Linked DNA regions of Oryctolagus cuniculus. The protein of the gene in region 3 interacts with the protein of the main gene of each other region in a pairwise test. Links are inferred from orthologs where the notes say so. Each region holds a gene or a part of one and is shown on either strand. Other genes may lie near its edges.

Region 1 (5,206 bases), on a different chromosome or scaffold from region 3:
ACAGAGCCTGGCAAACATTTTCTGAAAAGATATAATTAGGAAACATCTCAGGCTCTTTGAGCCAATAGTCACCGTGGTGATTAACAGGTAAATGAATGGGTGTGGCTCTGTGCCCATAAAGCTTTATTTACAAAAACAGGTGGTTGGGGCTGGCAGGGTGGTGCAGTGGGTTAAGCCACAGCCTGCAATGCCCGCATCCCACGTCAGAGCATTTGTTCAAGTCCCTGCTGCTCAGCTTCTGATCCAGCTCCCTGCCAATGACACGGGGAAAGCAGCAGTCAGTGGCTCAAGTGCTTGGGCCCCATGAAAGACCCGGATGGAATTCCCAGCTCCTGGCTTCAGTCTGGCCCAGGCCTGGCCACCGTGGCCATTTGGGGAGTGCCTTTCAAATAAAAATAAGTCAATCTTTAAAAAAAAAAAAAAAAAAAAACCACCAAAAACCAGGTGGTGAGGAAAAGGCAGCTATTGGTCCACGTTTGGGTCAAGGGCCATGGTTTGCTCACCTGTGCCCTGGACAATCAATAAAACAATAAAACAATAAATCAAGCCTTGGTTTTTTGCAAAAGCCTTGGCGTTTGTAGAATTCTCTGGTGTAAATATTCCCTGAGGCCAATTTCAAGCTACCAGTGTTCGGCCACTGACCTTGGCGCTGGAAAGGACAAGTGTGGTAACATCACACAGGTGGAGCAGTCAGAAATAACCTTGAACGCACTGGGAACACTGTCTCTCCCTTTCTCTCTGTAACTCCTTCAAATAAATAACCCTATAAAAAAGATAAAATGGAGTAAAATCATGCAGAAGGAATGAGATTTGAGCATTTGCTATCTTTGTTTTGTACAGTTTATTTAGCTGTAAGTTTATGTGATTTTTGAAGCCTTTTAAAAATATTTATTTATTTGAAAATCAGAGTTAGAGAGAGAAGGGAGGGAGGGAGGGAGAGAGAGAGAGAGAGAGAGAATGAATCTTCCCTCCTTTGGTTCACTGCCCAGATGGCCACAATAGCCAGGGCTGGGCCAGGCCAACGCTACAACCCAGGAGCTTCATCTGGGTCTTCCATGTGGGTGGCAGAGGCCCAAGCATGGACTGTCTTCTGCTGCTTTCCTATGTGCATTTGCGGGGAGCTGGATGGGAAATGGAGCAGCTGGGACTGGAACTGGGATGCCAGCATCACAGGTGTGGCTTCATTGGCTATACTGCTATGTTGGCTCCAATTTTGCAACTTTTTAACTTAATTTTTATTATTTTATTTTTAAAAAACTTTGAGGTGTTAATCTACCACCATTCTCTATTTTTTTGTGTATATTTATCCATAGTTTTTATATACTTTTCAAAAAGACTCATTATTTGAAAGGCAGAGTTACAGAGAAGCAGAGGCAGAGAGAGAAAGAGGTTTTTCATCCACTGGTTCACTCCCCAAATGGCTGCAATGGTCGGAGCTGGGCCGGTCCAAAGCCCGGAGCCAGGAGCTTCCTCCAGGTCTCCCACATATGTGCTTGGACCCAAGGACTTGGGCCATTTCCTACTGCTTTCCCAGGCCAAAGCAGAGTGCTGGATCAGAAGTGGAACAGCCAGGACTCGAACCAGTGCCCATATGGGATGCGGCATTTTTACTTGCTATGCCACAGAGCTGGCCCCAATTTTATTTTTAAAGTTTTTTTAATTTATATTTTACATGTGGAGTTGGAGAGATCTTCCATCCATTGGTTCACTCTCCAAATGGCTGAAACAACCAGGGGAGGGCTGCAGTAAGGGGCACAAACTGGAATTCGAACCCAGGACTGTAGAGTTTGTAAAACAGGAGATTAAAAAAAATATGAATTTATGTACATTTCAAGGCTTTTGCAGAAGCGAGGAACCGAATCCAAGCACCGTGGCCCCTTTATCTGGGACATGCGTTTGGTAGGTGCCCGATAAATATTTGTTAAGCAAATGAGTAATGAAAATAAGTCACCCAGGGTGACATCACCCCGTAGCGCTTGTGCGTGCGGGGGCGTGGCTTCCAACGACCCCGCCCCTCGCGTCGCCCCGCGCTCGCGGACGGCTGAGGTGTTTTGGCCCGCGGGCGGAGCCGTAGCCACTCTCTGCCCAGGGTCCCGGGGTGGGGGGCCGCGATGTCGGATAAGGAAGCGATGCCGAGCGGAGGCGCCTCGCAGGCCCGCGCCGACACTATCAGCGACATCCAGGAGCTGATGCGGCGCAAGGAGGAGATTGAGGCGCAGATCAAGGCGAATTACGACGTGCTGGAGGGCGTGAGTGAGGGCTCGGGGCTGCCGGGCGGCGTGGGAGCGCCCCGAGGGCTTGCCGGGACGCTCGGCCGTGGCTGGTTCTCCCACGGCCTCCCTGGGCGGCGGCGCGGGCTGACCGCCCCCTGCGAGGGGCGCGGCGCGGGCGTCTCTCCCGGGGCTGGCCCGGCAGCTCGGTGCCGCCGAGCTCCCCGCGTTGGAGACCAGGAAGCCGATGGCGATCACCGCCGCCTGGGGTCCTGGTGGACGTGGGAGCCGCTGGAACGCCAGTGCGCATGCGGGACGCCTGGGGGCGTGGCTAGAGTGCGGGGCGTGCCGGGGGCGGGGCCTCAGGCGGTGCTCCTACTGCAGGCTCCGTGTGAGATGCCCTGGATGGACAGATCCCTGTGACATGTCCACGGTGGGCAGACCCGTGTGACATGTCCACGGTGGGCAGATCCCTGTGACATGTCCATGATGGGCAGACCCGTGTGACATGTCCATGATGGGCAGACCCGTGTGACATGTCCAGGATGGGCAGATCCCTGTGAGATGTCCACAGTGGTCAGACCTGTGTGACATGTCCATGATGGGCAGACCCGTGTGACATGTCCACGGTGGGCAGATCCTTGTGAGATGTCCACGGTGGTCAGACCTGTGTGACATGTCCAGGATGGGCAGATCCCTGTGACATGTCCACGGTGGTCAGATCCTTGTGACATGTCCAGGATGGGCAGATCCCTGTGACATGTCCACGGTGGGCAGATCCCTGTGACATGTCCAGGATGGGCAGACCCGTGTGAGATGCCCGGGATGGACAGACCCGTGTGAGATGTCCACGGTGGGCAGATCCCTGTGAGATGTCCCAGATGGGCAGACCCGTGTGATATGTCCACGGTGGTCAGATCCCTGTGACATGTCCACGGTGGGCAGACCCGTGTGACATGTCCACTGTGGGCTGACCCGTGTGAGATGTCCAGGATGGGCAGATCCCTGTGACATGTCCACGGTGGGCAGACCCGTGTGACATGTCCACGGTGGGCTGACCCGTGTGAGATGTCCAGGATGGGCAGACCCGTGTGACATGTCCAGGATGGGCAGATCCTTGTGAGATGCCCGGGATGGGCAGATCCCTGTGAGATGCCCGGGATGGGCAGACCCGTGTGAGATGTCCAGGATGGGCAGATCCCTGTGAGATGTCCCGGATGGGCAGATCCATAGGAACAGAAAGTAGTTGCTGGGGTCTGGGGGGAGGGAGTGAGAGTGATTGCTGATGAGGCTTCTTTTTGGGGGTGATGAAGATGTACTAAAATTGAGGGTGAGGGTTGGACGGGTCTGTGAATATTCTGAAAACCACTGAATTGTTCACTTTAGCCTAGTGTTTTGTTTTGTTTTGTTTTGGACAGGCAGAGTGGACAGTGAGAGAGAGAGACAGAGAGAAAGGTCTTCCTTTTGCCGTTGGTTCACCCTCCAATGGCCGCCGCGGCCGGCGCACCGCGCTGATCCGATGGCAGGAGCCAGGTGCTTCTCCTGGTCTCCCATGGGGTGCAGGGCCCAAGCACTTGGGCCATCCTCCACTGCACTCCCGGCCACAGCAGAGAGCTGGCCTGGAAGAGGGGCAACCGGGACAGAATCCGGCGCCCCGACTGGGACTAGAACCCGGTGTGCCAGCGCCGCAAGGTGGAGGATTAGCCTAGTGAGCCGCGGCGCCGGCCTGAATTGTTCACTGCTCAATGGAGCAATTTATGATAAGTGAACAATATCTCAATGAAACTTTCAAAAACGGGGAATCTGTGCTGTGGCCCAGTGGGTTAAGCCACCACTTGTGACACCAGCATGCCATGTCAGAGCTCCAGTTCCAGTCCCGGCTGCTCCACTTCCGATCCAGCTCGCTGCTGTGGCCTGGGAAAGCAGTGGAGGATGGCCTACGTGCTTGGGCCCTGCACCCACGTGGGAGACCCGGAAGAAGCTCCTCACTTCAGTCTGGCCCACCACTGATCATTGGGGCCATCAGGGCCCAGGAGAAAGATGGAAGATCTTTCTCCTCTCTCTCTCCTCTCACTGTAACTCTGACTTTAAAATAAATGTATCTTAAAAAAGAAAAAACTTTCAAAATTGGAACAACTCAGAGACAGCAAGTAATCTGGGATTGTAAAGACTGAATATTGAAGAGAACTGGAAAGAGAATCAATATTTTAATTGTAAAAGGATTTATTATTTATTTGAAAGGCAGAATTTCAGAGAGAGAGAGAGAGACCTTCCATCCACTGGTTCACTCTCCAAATGACTACAACAGCTGGGGCTGGAACTCCATCCAGGTCTCCCCCATGGGTGGCACGGGCACAAGTACTTGGGTACTGGATCAGAGGTGGAACAGCTGGGGTTTGAACTGGTGCTCATATGGGATGTCAGTGTTGCACATGGTGGCTTAACCCAATGCTGGCCCCAGGAATAAATATTTTCTTTATTTTTAAAAGATTTACTTATTTATTTGAAAGTCAGATTTAGAGAAAGAGAGAGATGCAGAGAGCGAGTGAGCTTCCATCCATTGGTCCACTCCCCAAATGGCTGCAATGGCCAGGGCCGAAGCCAGAAGCCAGGAGCTCTTCCAGGTCTCCCATGTGGATAACAGGGGCCCAGGCATTTGGGCTGTCTTCTATTGCTTTTCTCAGACCATTTGCAGGGAGCTGGATTGGAAATGGAGCAGCTGGAACATGAACCAGTGCCTGTATGAGATGCTGGCATCGCAGGCAGCAGCTTTACCTGCTATGCTACAAGGCTGGGGTGGGGCCAGAATAAGTATTTTAGACAGAAGGTTATTTACTGCCTTGTGTGTGAGCCACCAGTTGTGTGGGTCCTTTTTGGGAAGAGATATATATATATATATATATATATATATGATTTATTTATTTATTTGAAAGACAGATTTACAAAGAGGCAGAGGTAGAGAGAGAGAGAAAAATCTTCCATCTGCTGGTTTACTT
Region 2 (5,372 bases), on a different chromosome or scaffold from region 3:
CTGCGCTCACCTCCCCCCTGCGCTCACCTCCCCCCTGTGCTCACCTCCCTCTGCGCTCAGCTCCCCTCTGCCCTCACCTCCCTCTGCGCTCACCTCCCTCTGCGCTCACCTCCCCCCTGCGCTCACCTCCCTCTGTGCTCACCTCCCGCTGTGCTCACCTCCCTCTGCGCTCACCTCCCCTCTGCCCTCACCTCCCACTGTGCTCACCTCCCCCCTGCCCTCACCTCCCGCTGTGCTCACTTCCCGCTGTGCTCACCTCCCTCTGTGCTCACCTCCCTCTGTGCTCACCTCCCCCTGCCCTCGCCTCCCGCTGTGCTCACCTCCCTCTGTGCTCACCTCCCCCCTGCGCTCACCTCCCCCTGCCCTCACCTCCCGCTGTGCTCACCTCCCCTCTGCCCTCACCTCCTGCTGTGCTCACCTCCCCCCTGCCCTCACCTCCCGCTGTGCTCACTTCCCGCTGTGCTCACCTCCCTCTGTGCTCACCTCCCTCTGTGCTCACCTCCCCCTGCCCTCGCCTCCCGCTGTGCTCACCTCCCCCCTGCGCTCACCTCCCCCTGCCCTCACCTCCTGCTGTGCTCACCTCCCCTCTGCCCTCACCTCCTGCTGTGCTCACCTCCCCCCTGCCCTCGCCTCCCTCTGCGCTCACCTCCCTCTGTGCTCACCTCCCTCTGCGCTCACCTCCCTCTGCGCTCACCTCCCGCTGTGCTCACCTCCCCCCTGCGCCCCCCCCCCCAGTGCTCCCTGCCGGGAGCCGCACAGTGGCTCTCAGGCTCTCAAGCGGAGTTTGCATGGAAGAGGAAGCTTCCTCGCATGCCAGCCTTCCCGGTCCAGCACACTGCGGGTCCCACGGAGGGCGGCATGTGGGACAGCGTTCCTGTGGCAGGGACACCTCAGGGGAGGGCAATCCCCGCGTCCAGGGCACACCTGGCCCGTGGTGTTTCTCCTTCCACGGGACCAGCTCTGCCTCGTCCACAAAGACCCTGCAGGGGCCAACGCTGTGGTGTAGTGGGTAAAGTCACCGCCTGCAGTGCCGGCATCCCATATGGGCACCAGTTCCAGTCCCGGCTGCTCCACTTCCAATCCAGCTCTCTGTTATGGCCTGGGAAAGCAGTAGAAGATGGCCCAAGTCCTTGGGCCCCTGCACCCTGTGGGAGACCCGGAGGAAGCTCCTGGCTCCTGGCTCCTGATCAGCACAGCTCCGGCTGTTGTGGCCAGTTGGGGAGTGAACCAGCGGATGGAAGACCTCTCTCTCTGCCTCTCCTGTCTCTTTGTAACTCTTTCAAATAAATAAATAAATCTTTAAAAACCCACTCTGCTGATCCCCTGGATGTGTCTGGTCCACTCATCACGCCACTAGCCCTCACCTCTCTGGCCACCTGCTGTTGCCCTCACTTCCCTGCAAATGTGTTTGGCCATGACGAGGGTATTAAAGCCAGAGCCAGCTAACAGGACAGGTCGGCGTGTTTTGCCCCCAAGGGCTGCCTCCCCCACCCCTCCAGCCCCTCACTGGCTGCTCTCAGTGGGCACAGCCCCCCTGAACCCCTGTCCTCACTGGACCTGGACGTGCAGGGGAGCCTGGGAACCACTGAGGCCCAGAAGGGGGGCAGAGGGCGCCTCCGAAACATGGGGCCACGGTGTCCCGATGAACCGCTCTGCCCCACTCACCTCCCCGCTCTGCACCCACAGCACTCTGCCATCACGCCGCTCCCCTCCGTGCTGCCCTCACCTCCCCCTGCGCTCACCTCCCTCTGCGCTCACCTCCCCCCTGCACTCACCTCCCCCCCCCCGTGCTCACCTCCCCCTGTGCTCACCTCCCCCTGCCCTCACCTCCCTCTGCGCTCACCTCCCTCTGCCCTCACCTCCCCCTGAGCTCACCTCCCTCTGCCCTCACCTCCCCCTGAGCTCACCTCCCCCCTGTGCTCACCTCCCCCTGAGCTCACCTCCCCCAGCACTCACCTCCCTCTGCGCTCACCTCCCCCTGCGCTCACCTCCCCGCTGCACTCACCTCCGTGCAGCTCTCACCTCCCTCTGCACTCACCTCCCTCTGCACTCACCTCCCTCTGTGCTCACCTCCCTCTGTGCTCACCTCCCCGCTGTTCTCATCTCTCACCTCCACCATCGAGCCTCAGGGACTGGCACAGCCATGTCCATGTGTGAAGGCACTCCCGGGACAGCTGAGCGGCGACTGAACAGGTGGGGCCAAGAAAGGCCAGTTCAGGCCAAAGCCCCTGCAGCTCAGAGCTGTCCACACCCCGGGCTTTTCCGCAGGCTCCCCTGACAGGCCGGCTCAGAGGCCCAGCTCCATCCCCAGGAAAACCTTGTACAACGCCCTGTGAGGCTGCACCCTCTGGCACTACAAACCTTAACACATAGCGCGTTCGCAAAGCACCCAGGCCGACAGCTTACCCGGGCTGCCCCCACGGGCATCACACAAGGACCGGAGCCCTGGGCGGGAGTCGTACAGACGGGAGTGCATGCAGGCCAGGAAGGCCTAAACAGGACCGCAGCCTGGCCAAGTCCCGCCCACCAACCCCGCGTCCTGCCACTCCGACCAATGACCCGCCGTGAACTCCTGGGCAGTTAACGCGCAAGGTGATGGCCACCCCTGCTATCAAACAGCGACACGGACGCCACGCGAACAAGGCGGGCACCAAATACGATCGTTGACAAGCCTGGAGGCAGGTGCGCTAACAGCTCACTAGCGCGGCCGAACTGCAAAGACCGTCGTTGTCTTCCGCCCGCACTCCTCACACTCTAGGACGAGCACCCAGCTACCGCGGAGCTGCACCTGCCGCCGCCCCGCAAGGCGTCTGCGGCAGGCCCCGCCCCCGGGACACGGCCCCTCCCACCGCGCCGGTGGCCCCGCCCCCGGGACGCGGGTCCGCCCACCGCGCCGGCGGCCAAGCCCACGGCCCCCGCCCACCGCGCCGGCGGCGGTTCCTGGCTCGCGGGCCGGCCGCCAGTCACTCGGCGGCGACGCCCCGCCTTCGTCTCCACACCTGGACGCCCAGGGCGGAGCGTGGGTGGGCGGCTCCCTTACCTTCTGGATCCGCTTCAGCGCCATCCTCCCGCGTCTGGGGCCCGGCGGCCCGGCGGGGCGGCCAGAGGCGGCCCGCTGCGGGCTCGGCCGCGCGCTGCACGCTGGGAGCCGCCGCCTGCGCGTGCGCGCCGCGAGGCACTGTGGGGCGGACGCCGGCGCCGCGTGTCCCGGCGGCCGAGGGCCCCAGCGGGCGTTCGCCCGCGCGCCCTGCCCTGTGGCTTGGGCCAGGGCCCGTAGGGGGCCGGACACGGTGACGCCCGCCGCGTGTTGCCCTGTGCGCCGCGGGCGCCTCCGCGGGCTGCAGGTTCCCGCTCTGTGCGCGCCCCCGCCGGGACGTCGTAGTCCGGCGCGCTGCACCTGCTGTCACGTCGTAGTCCGGCGCGCTGCACCTGCTGCCACGCACGCACGCACGGACGCGGCCTCGTGCGGTGGAGCGGCAGAGCGGGCGGTGGTGATACGCCGCCAGGGCTGGGAACCGCAGCCGCAAGCCACGCGTGGCCCCCGCTTAATTCCGCCTCAGCCCCTCTTCCCAAGACCCACGTGGTGTGTGGGTCGGGGTTTCCCAATTTGGGGCGTAGAATCCGTCTCCTGGGTCGCAGGCAGGAAATGGAGTAAGAGCGAACCTGACACGCGAAGGCGAGAGCCGCCGCAGCTCCCCGCGGAGGGGGCGCCAGGGGAGTCAGGCTGGACCGCAGGGGTCGCCTGGGCTTGTCCCGCGGGCATCCCCGCGTGTGCGCGCGGTCGGCACGCACCGTGGATCGCAGACGCTATCCTTTCCCGGCCGGGTCCGGCTTCCCTTTCGCTCCCGGAGTCTCCTCCGCACTTCATGAACTCCCTCTCCGCGAAGCTGCCGCGCCGCCTCCAGCCCCAAACCCACTCAGCGCCACGAGAGGCCGCGGCCGCGCGTGTGCGCTGAGCTCCAGCCCGGCTGGCCGTCCAGTGCTTCCACCCGTATCGCTTTATCTGGGATGCCCTAAAAGCACCTTCCAAAATGAGCTCAAGCGCTCTGGGGCTCAGGTTAAGCGCCGCACCTCGGTGTCCCAGCGTGTGCCTGGCTCTCCTACCTAGAGAGCGGAAGATCTTACATTTTTGTGTTATAATCCGCGAATTCTCTACAGAGAAGTCGCATCATGGGACTAAGCCAGGAAAACAAACAAACAAACAAACCACTAGACTTGTCCAGAGTAGAACATGAAAAATTGTATTTCTACTCCTTGTGGGTGGTTTAGTGCATAGTTTTCTAAACTCTATTAGGCATACATGTGATATTTAATTTTGTTACTTTCAAATAATTTTCCATGTACAAAAATACTGCAAAAATGCACAAAAAGTCTAAAAGTGGATCAATTTGACCTCATTAAAACGTGAAACTTTGGCACTTCAGACAGCACCATCAAGAAAGCAAAAAGCAAAAAAGATAAGCCCGAGAATGGGAGGAGAATTTGACAATTAGGTTTCTAACAAGGGTGTAGGATCCAGACTAAAAACAACAGGCACAACTTTTTTTTTTTTTTTTTTTTTGTTACAAAGGCGTTTAGTTTATTCTCGTATCACGGATACTCTAGCGGTTCACATTTCTCGACGCCGCTCCTCCTCCTTTACAGTAGTTCATGTGCAATCTCACTCCCAGGCCCGGGGAGGGGGCGGGGCGGGCCTTGGCACTCCACGCTGGGCCAGGGGTGGGGGCGGCGGGCCCCTCAGGGAAAGGGGCTTGGGGGTGGCGGAGTGGGGGTGAGCGGAGGTGGGAGAGGGCCCTACAGTCTTTTTAATTTTTTTTAATGTCCGTGGATGATTCTCCCCCGTTTGCATTCCTTCCTGGCTGCCCAGGGTAGGGGACCATGCAGCGCAGGGCAGGGCTAGGGGGGAAAGCAGCTGGCCGCCCGGGGGGAGAGGGGGGCGCTGGGGGGGCTCCTGGGCTAAGGCAAACCCTGTCTTTGGCTCTCCTGGTGGGGAGTTCCCTTCCCCTGCACCCCCCCCGTCCCGTCCCCCCCCAGTCCCAGGAGCCAGGGGCCACCTCCTGGGGTCCCTGAAGACAACTGGGCTCTGCCACCCGGCTGGGCGCTGCAGGGGCTCCCAGGAGGCGGGGCAGCCGAGTGCCCCTACCTTGGGAATAGGCGGGGAGGGAGGAGACCCCCCCCCCCGTTCCAGGGAGCCAGTCCCCCCTGCTCAGGAACAGGCACAACTTAATAATAAAAAAAGACAACCTCAATAAAAACTGGGCAAAAAATTTGAGAATATAGTTCTTCAAAGAAGGGATACGACTAGCCAAAAAGCACATTAAAAAAAAAAAAAAAAAGATTGCTCAGGGTGGGGGTTCTGGTAGTGGTTTAAG
Region 3 (3,458 bases):
GCTCACCTTGGGGACAAGCGCCGGGACCTCGCCCACCTGGCTGCAGAGGTGGAGGGCAAGTGCTTACAGTCGGGCTTCGAGATGCTTAAGGTTCGACCGTTGCCCCTGCATAGCCCCTCAGGTCGTGCACAGTATAGCTTCGCACAGCCAGTATGTCAGCCTGGGAGGCTCGCTCTTCCACTCTGCTTCCCTAGATCCAGTCTTTCCTTCCAGACATACAAGGATCTCTTCCTACAGAAAGTCCTCTGATCTCTCCCATCCTTTCTAATCATGGTCTTATGTCCTGTCAACAATTATGTACTTAATTTGTACCCAAGGGGGAAAAAAATCACTTTTTGAAAGGACAAAAGTCATAGTCTGAATAAGTTAAAAAAAAAAAAAAAAAACTATGCATTAGAAATTTTGTGAAACCAGTTACTTTTAAGTCCTGGATTTTGAATCACCTAGTGCTGAAGAACAGAAACATAGCTTAAAGGATACTTGTAAAGAATACCTTGCTTTTGATATACCAATGATGCCTCTAAAATGTTTGAAGTAGTGTTATTCTCTTAAACAGATAAATCATATTAGCCAGGCTGTAGGGGACATACTTTTTATCTTAGATATCAGATTACCAGCATTTGAATCATTGAGGCTTCATTGTACATTTATATGCATGTTGTGTATTGCTCGGTATTTATTATTCCCGTGTTCTTCATGTCTGTGTGTTCTGCTTTCCACATTAAACTGGAAAATCCTTAAGGGGCAGAGATTTGTCTTCTTTGTCTTCTGGACCCCAAGTATTCTCAAATTAGGATTGGCACGCAGTTGTTAATGTTCATTAACCAGTGCTGGCTAGGGAATACCAAACCACAACAGGAAAGAGTGGTTTGTTTTGTGCTGCCAGTCAGAATTCTCTGTCCTGAGATCCTCAGGGAGACACAGTGTGTGGTTGGTACTTGGGGCACAGAGTGAAGAGCAGACACAATCCCTGTCCCTTGCAGGGAGCTCCCAGTGAGCCTGAGGAGCAAAGACAAACACCAAGAAACCATTTGGAAGTGATTCAAATTATCAAGCTCCACAATGACCAAAAGTTGAAAATGGGGATCCAGTTGGGAGAGAAGCTCGGATGCCCCTGGAACTCTTCGCCCTGCACTGGGACCCTCAGTTTTCTCTGTGCCTTTTTAGAGATCTAGAGCTTTGGGGAGGAGGGGAAACCTTTTGCCTTCAGGACCCTTGAATACCAGGACCAATATTGCTTTCTTTTCTCCTTCCCTCTAGGATGTCAAAAGTACCCTGGAAAAGTAAGTGATTCTTAAATCTCTTTGAGTGAGTTAGGGCTTGTCTTAGATGCTGGGAGTTCAGTAAGGAGGTGGGGGAATAATGAGGGGAAAGTCATACAGGCTGGGTAGGATATGGGAGAAGGTCCAAGAAACCAGTTAGGGAACAGATCATCAGGACTAATAATCCCTTTTCCCCTTTGAGCATCAGGACTTCCTCAGTAAGAAGAATGATAACATAGAAACAGGTTCTCCTTGCGTCTATTGGTAAATTACGTCCAAGCAAGATGGCAGGAGGAACGGGTTGGTGGAGCCAATGGGCTTACCCATGGGCATGAAATATAAGACACACCCCTTCCCCCCACCCACCCACCACTGACCTTGTCAACATAAGAATCTGTCCCGGGAACCAGTGGCTCTCTGTGGATTGGCGAAAGGAAGCAGTTGTCTTCAGGGAGGAGGGGAAAGTGGGAAGATGGAGTTTTAGTTTCTCCCTAAAGATGACAACATCTGATAGCCGCCTGGCTTCAGCTTCCCCTAACCTTGCCCTTAATCTCCCCATCCCCTCCTAGATGTGAGAAGGTGAAGACCATGGAAGTGACTTCAGTATCTATAGAGCTGGAAAAGAACTTCAGCAATTTTCCCCGACAGTATTTTGCCCTAAGGAAAATCCTTAAACAGCTAATTGGTGAGTTGTTCCCAAAAGGAAATTAGCAGAGGGAATTGCCAGAGAGAACAAAGTCTTCAGACCCTACTTTATGTGGGCTTCAGTTATCCCGTCTCTCTTCATTCACACACCCATCTTCACCCAACTTTGAATGTCACCCTGAGTCACAGAACTCAAAATGAGAAGAAGCCTTAGGTATCACCTACTCTGAGATCCACACTTTTCTAAATAGAGACTTGGAAAGGTTAAATAGTTTGCCCAGGTTGTTAGATAGGGTGGCCGTCTAAAGCTAGGATGAGCTGAATAGTGAAAGGATGTGTCCTTAATATTCATGCAAGGAAAGTGGTCATTAACCAGGACAGCTCTGGGAAAACACATACACCTCACCCTATTCGTAGACCATAGTGCTGTCTTGCTCTGTATCTTTCTTAACATAACACTTTCCTTCCTGGCCCTCAGACCATGCCTTGCACCTCTCTGTACAGAGCAATAGATGATGATGTCGGAGGATGACAGGGAGAGTGGGAACCTTAGAGTGGTCCCTGCAGGGTCGGGATGAGAAGGGTAGCCTTCATTCTCCTCTCCCTCAGGAGACGCCCTGGGTTAGAGAGGTAACTTTTAAGGGACCAGGCTCTGTAGAGGCAGGCTGGAAAAGTGAGGCAGGGACATTTAGCTATTCCCATCCTCATCTAGCTCCCCACTCTGGCTTCTCCCGCCAGCGGATGTGACCCTGGACCCCGAGACTGCTCATCCTAACCTAGTCCTATCAGAAGACCGTAAGAGCGTCAAGTTCGTGGAGACAAGACTCCGGGATCTCCCCGACACACCACGGCGTTTCACCTTCTACCCTTGTGTCCTGGCTACTGAAGGTTTCACCTCAGGTCGACACTACTGGGAGGTGGAGGTGGGCGACAAGACCCACTGGGCAGTGGGTGTGTGCCGGGACTCTGTGAGCCGAAAGGGCGAGCTGACTCCACTCCCTGAGACTGGCTACTGGCGGGTACGGCTGTGGAATGGGGACAAATATGCAGCCACCACCACACCTTTCACCCCGTTGCATATCAAAGTGAAACCCAAACGGGTGGGCATATTCCTAGACTATGAGGCTGGCACGCTGTCTTTTTATAACGTCACAGACCGTTCTCACATCTACACCTTCACCGATACCTTCACAGAGAAACTTTGGCCCCTGTTCTACCCAGGCATACGGGCCGGTCGGAAGAATGCTGCACCACTTACCATCAGGCCTCCAACAGATTGGGAGTGACAGGTTGGGACGCGGGAGGAATCGGGGTGAGGCAGGGTCAAGAATACGGGCCTTCCTTCCTGTGGCCTGCGGGAACGTCTTGGTGTCTGCCTGGTTCCAGTTGTGAATCATCTCAGAGAAACACCGTGGTTTCTAAGATGCTTTGTGTGCAGGAGTGGGCAGGCCCGGGCTGCAGTGAGAGCACAGCTGTGTCTCCCTCCTGACGGTCAGGATGGGGAGCTGGTTCCCAGGGGATCGTCGACCCTGGCGCCCACCAGGTTTTCTG

The links. The genes of interacting proteins can lie anywhere in the genome.
Region 1: the proteins of TRIM39 (region 3) and PSMD9 interact in binary tests that used the Homo sapiens proteins (3 or more experiments, as listed by UniProt). The two-hybrid records come from large-scale screens. The link is inferred for Oryctolagus cuniculus from reciprocal best matches to the Homo sapiens genes TRIM39 and PSMD9.
Region 2: the proteins of TRIM39 (region 3) and UBE2D4 interact in binary tests that used the Homo sapiens proteins (3 or more experiments, as listed by UniProt). The link is inferred for Oryctolagus cuniculus from reciprocal best matches to the Homo sapiens genes TRIM39 and UBE2D4.

What each region holds. Positions count from the first base shown.
Region 1 is NC_091452.1:7,179,400-7,184,605, reverse strand, and holds the start of PSMD9 (26S proteasome non-ATPase regulatory subunit 9), read left to right. Parts: upstream 1-2,009; 5' UTR 2,010-2,111; coding exon 2,112-2,249; intron 2,250-5,206. UniProt on the Homo sapiens protein: Acts as a chaperone during the assembly of the 26S proteasome, specifically of the base subcomplex of the PA700/19S regulatory complex (RC).
Region 2 is NC_091447.1:51,528,950-51,534,321, reverse strand, and holds the start of UBE2D4 (ubiquitin-conjugating enzyme E2 D4), read right to left. Parts: upstream 3,198-5,372; 5' UTR 3,065-3,197; coding exon 3,041-3,064; intron 2,825-3,040; exon of another isoform or gene 2,428-2,824; coding exon of another isoform or gene 2,407-2,427; intron 1-2,406. UniProt on the Homo sapiens protein: Accepts ubiquitin from the E1 complex and catalyzes its covalent attachment to other proteins. In vitro able to promote polyubiquitination using all 7 ubiquitin Lys residues, but may prefer 'Lys-11' and 'Lys-48'-linked polyubiquitination.
Region 3 is NC_091436.1:139,953,075-139,956,532, reverse strand, and holds part of TRIM39 (E3 ubiquitin-protein ligase TRIM39), read left to right. Parts: coding exon 1-90; intron 91-1,260; coding exon 1,261-1,283; intron 1,284-1,831; coding exon 1,832-1,947; intron 1,948-2,619; coding exon of another isoform or gene 2,620-2,645; coding exon 2,646-3,193; 3' UTR 3,194-3,458.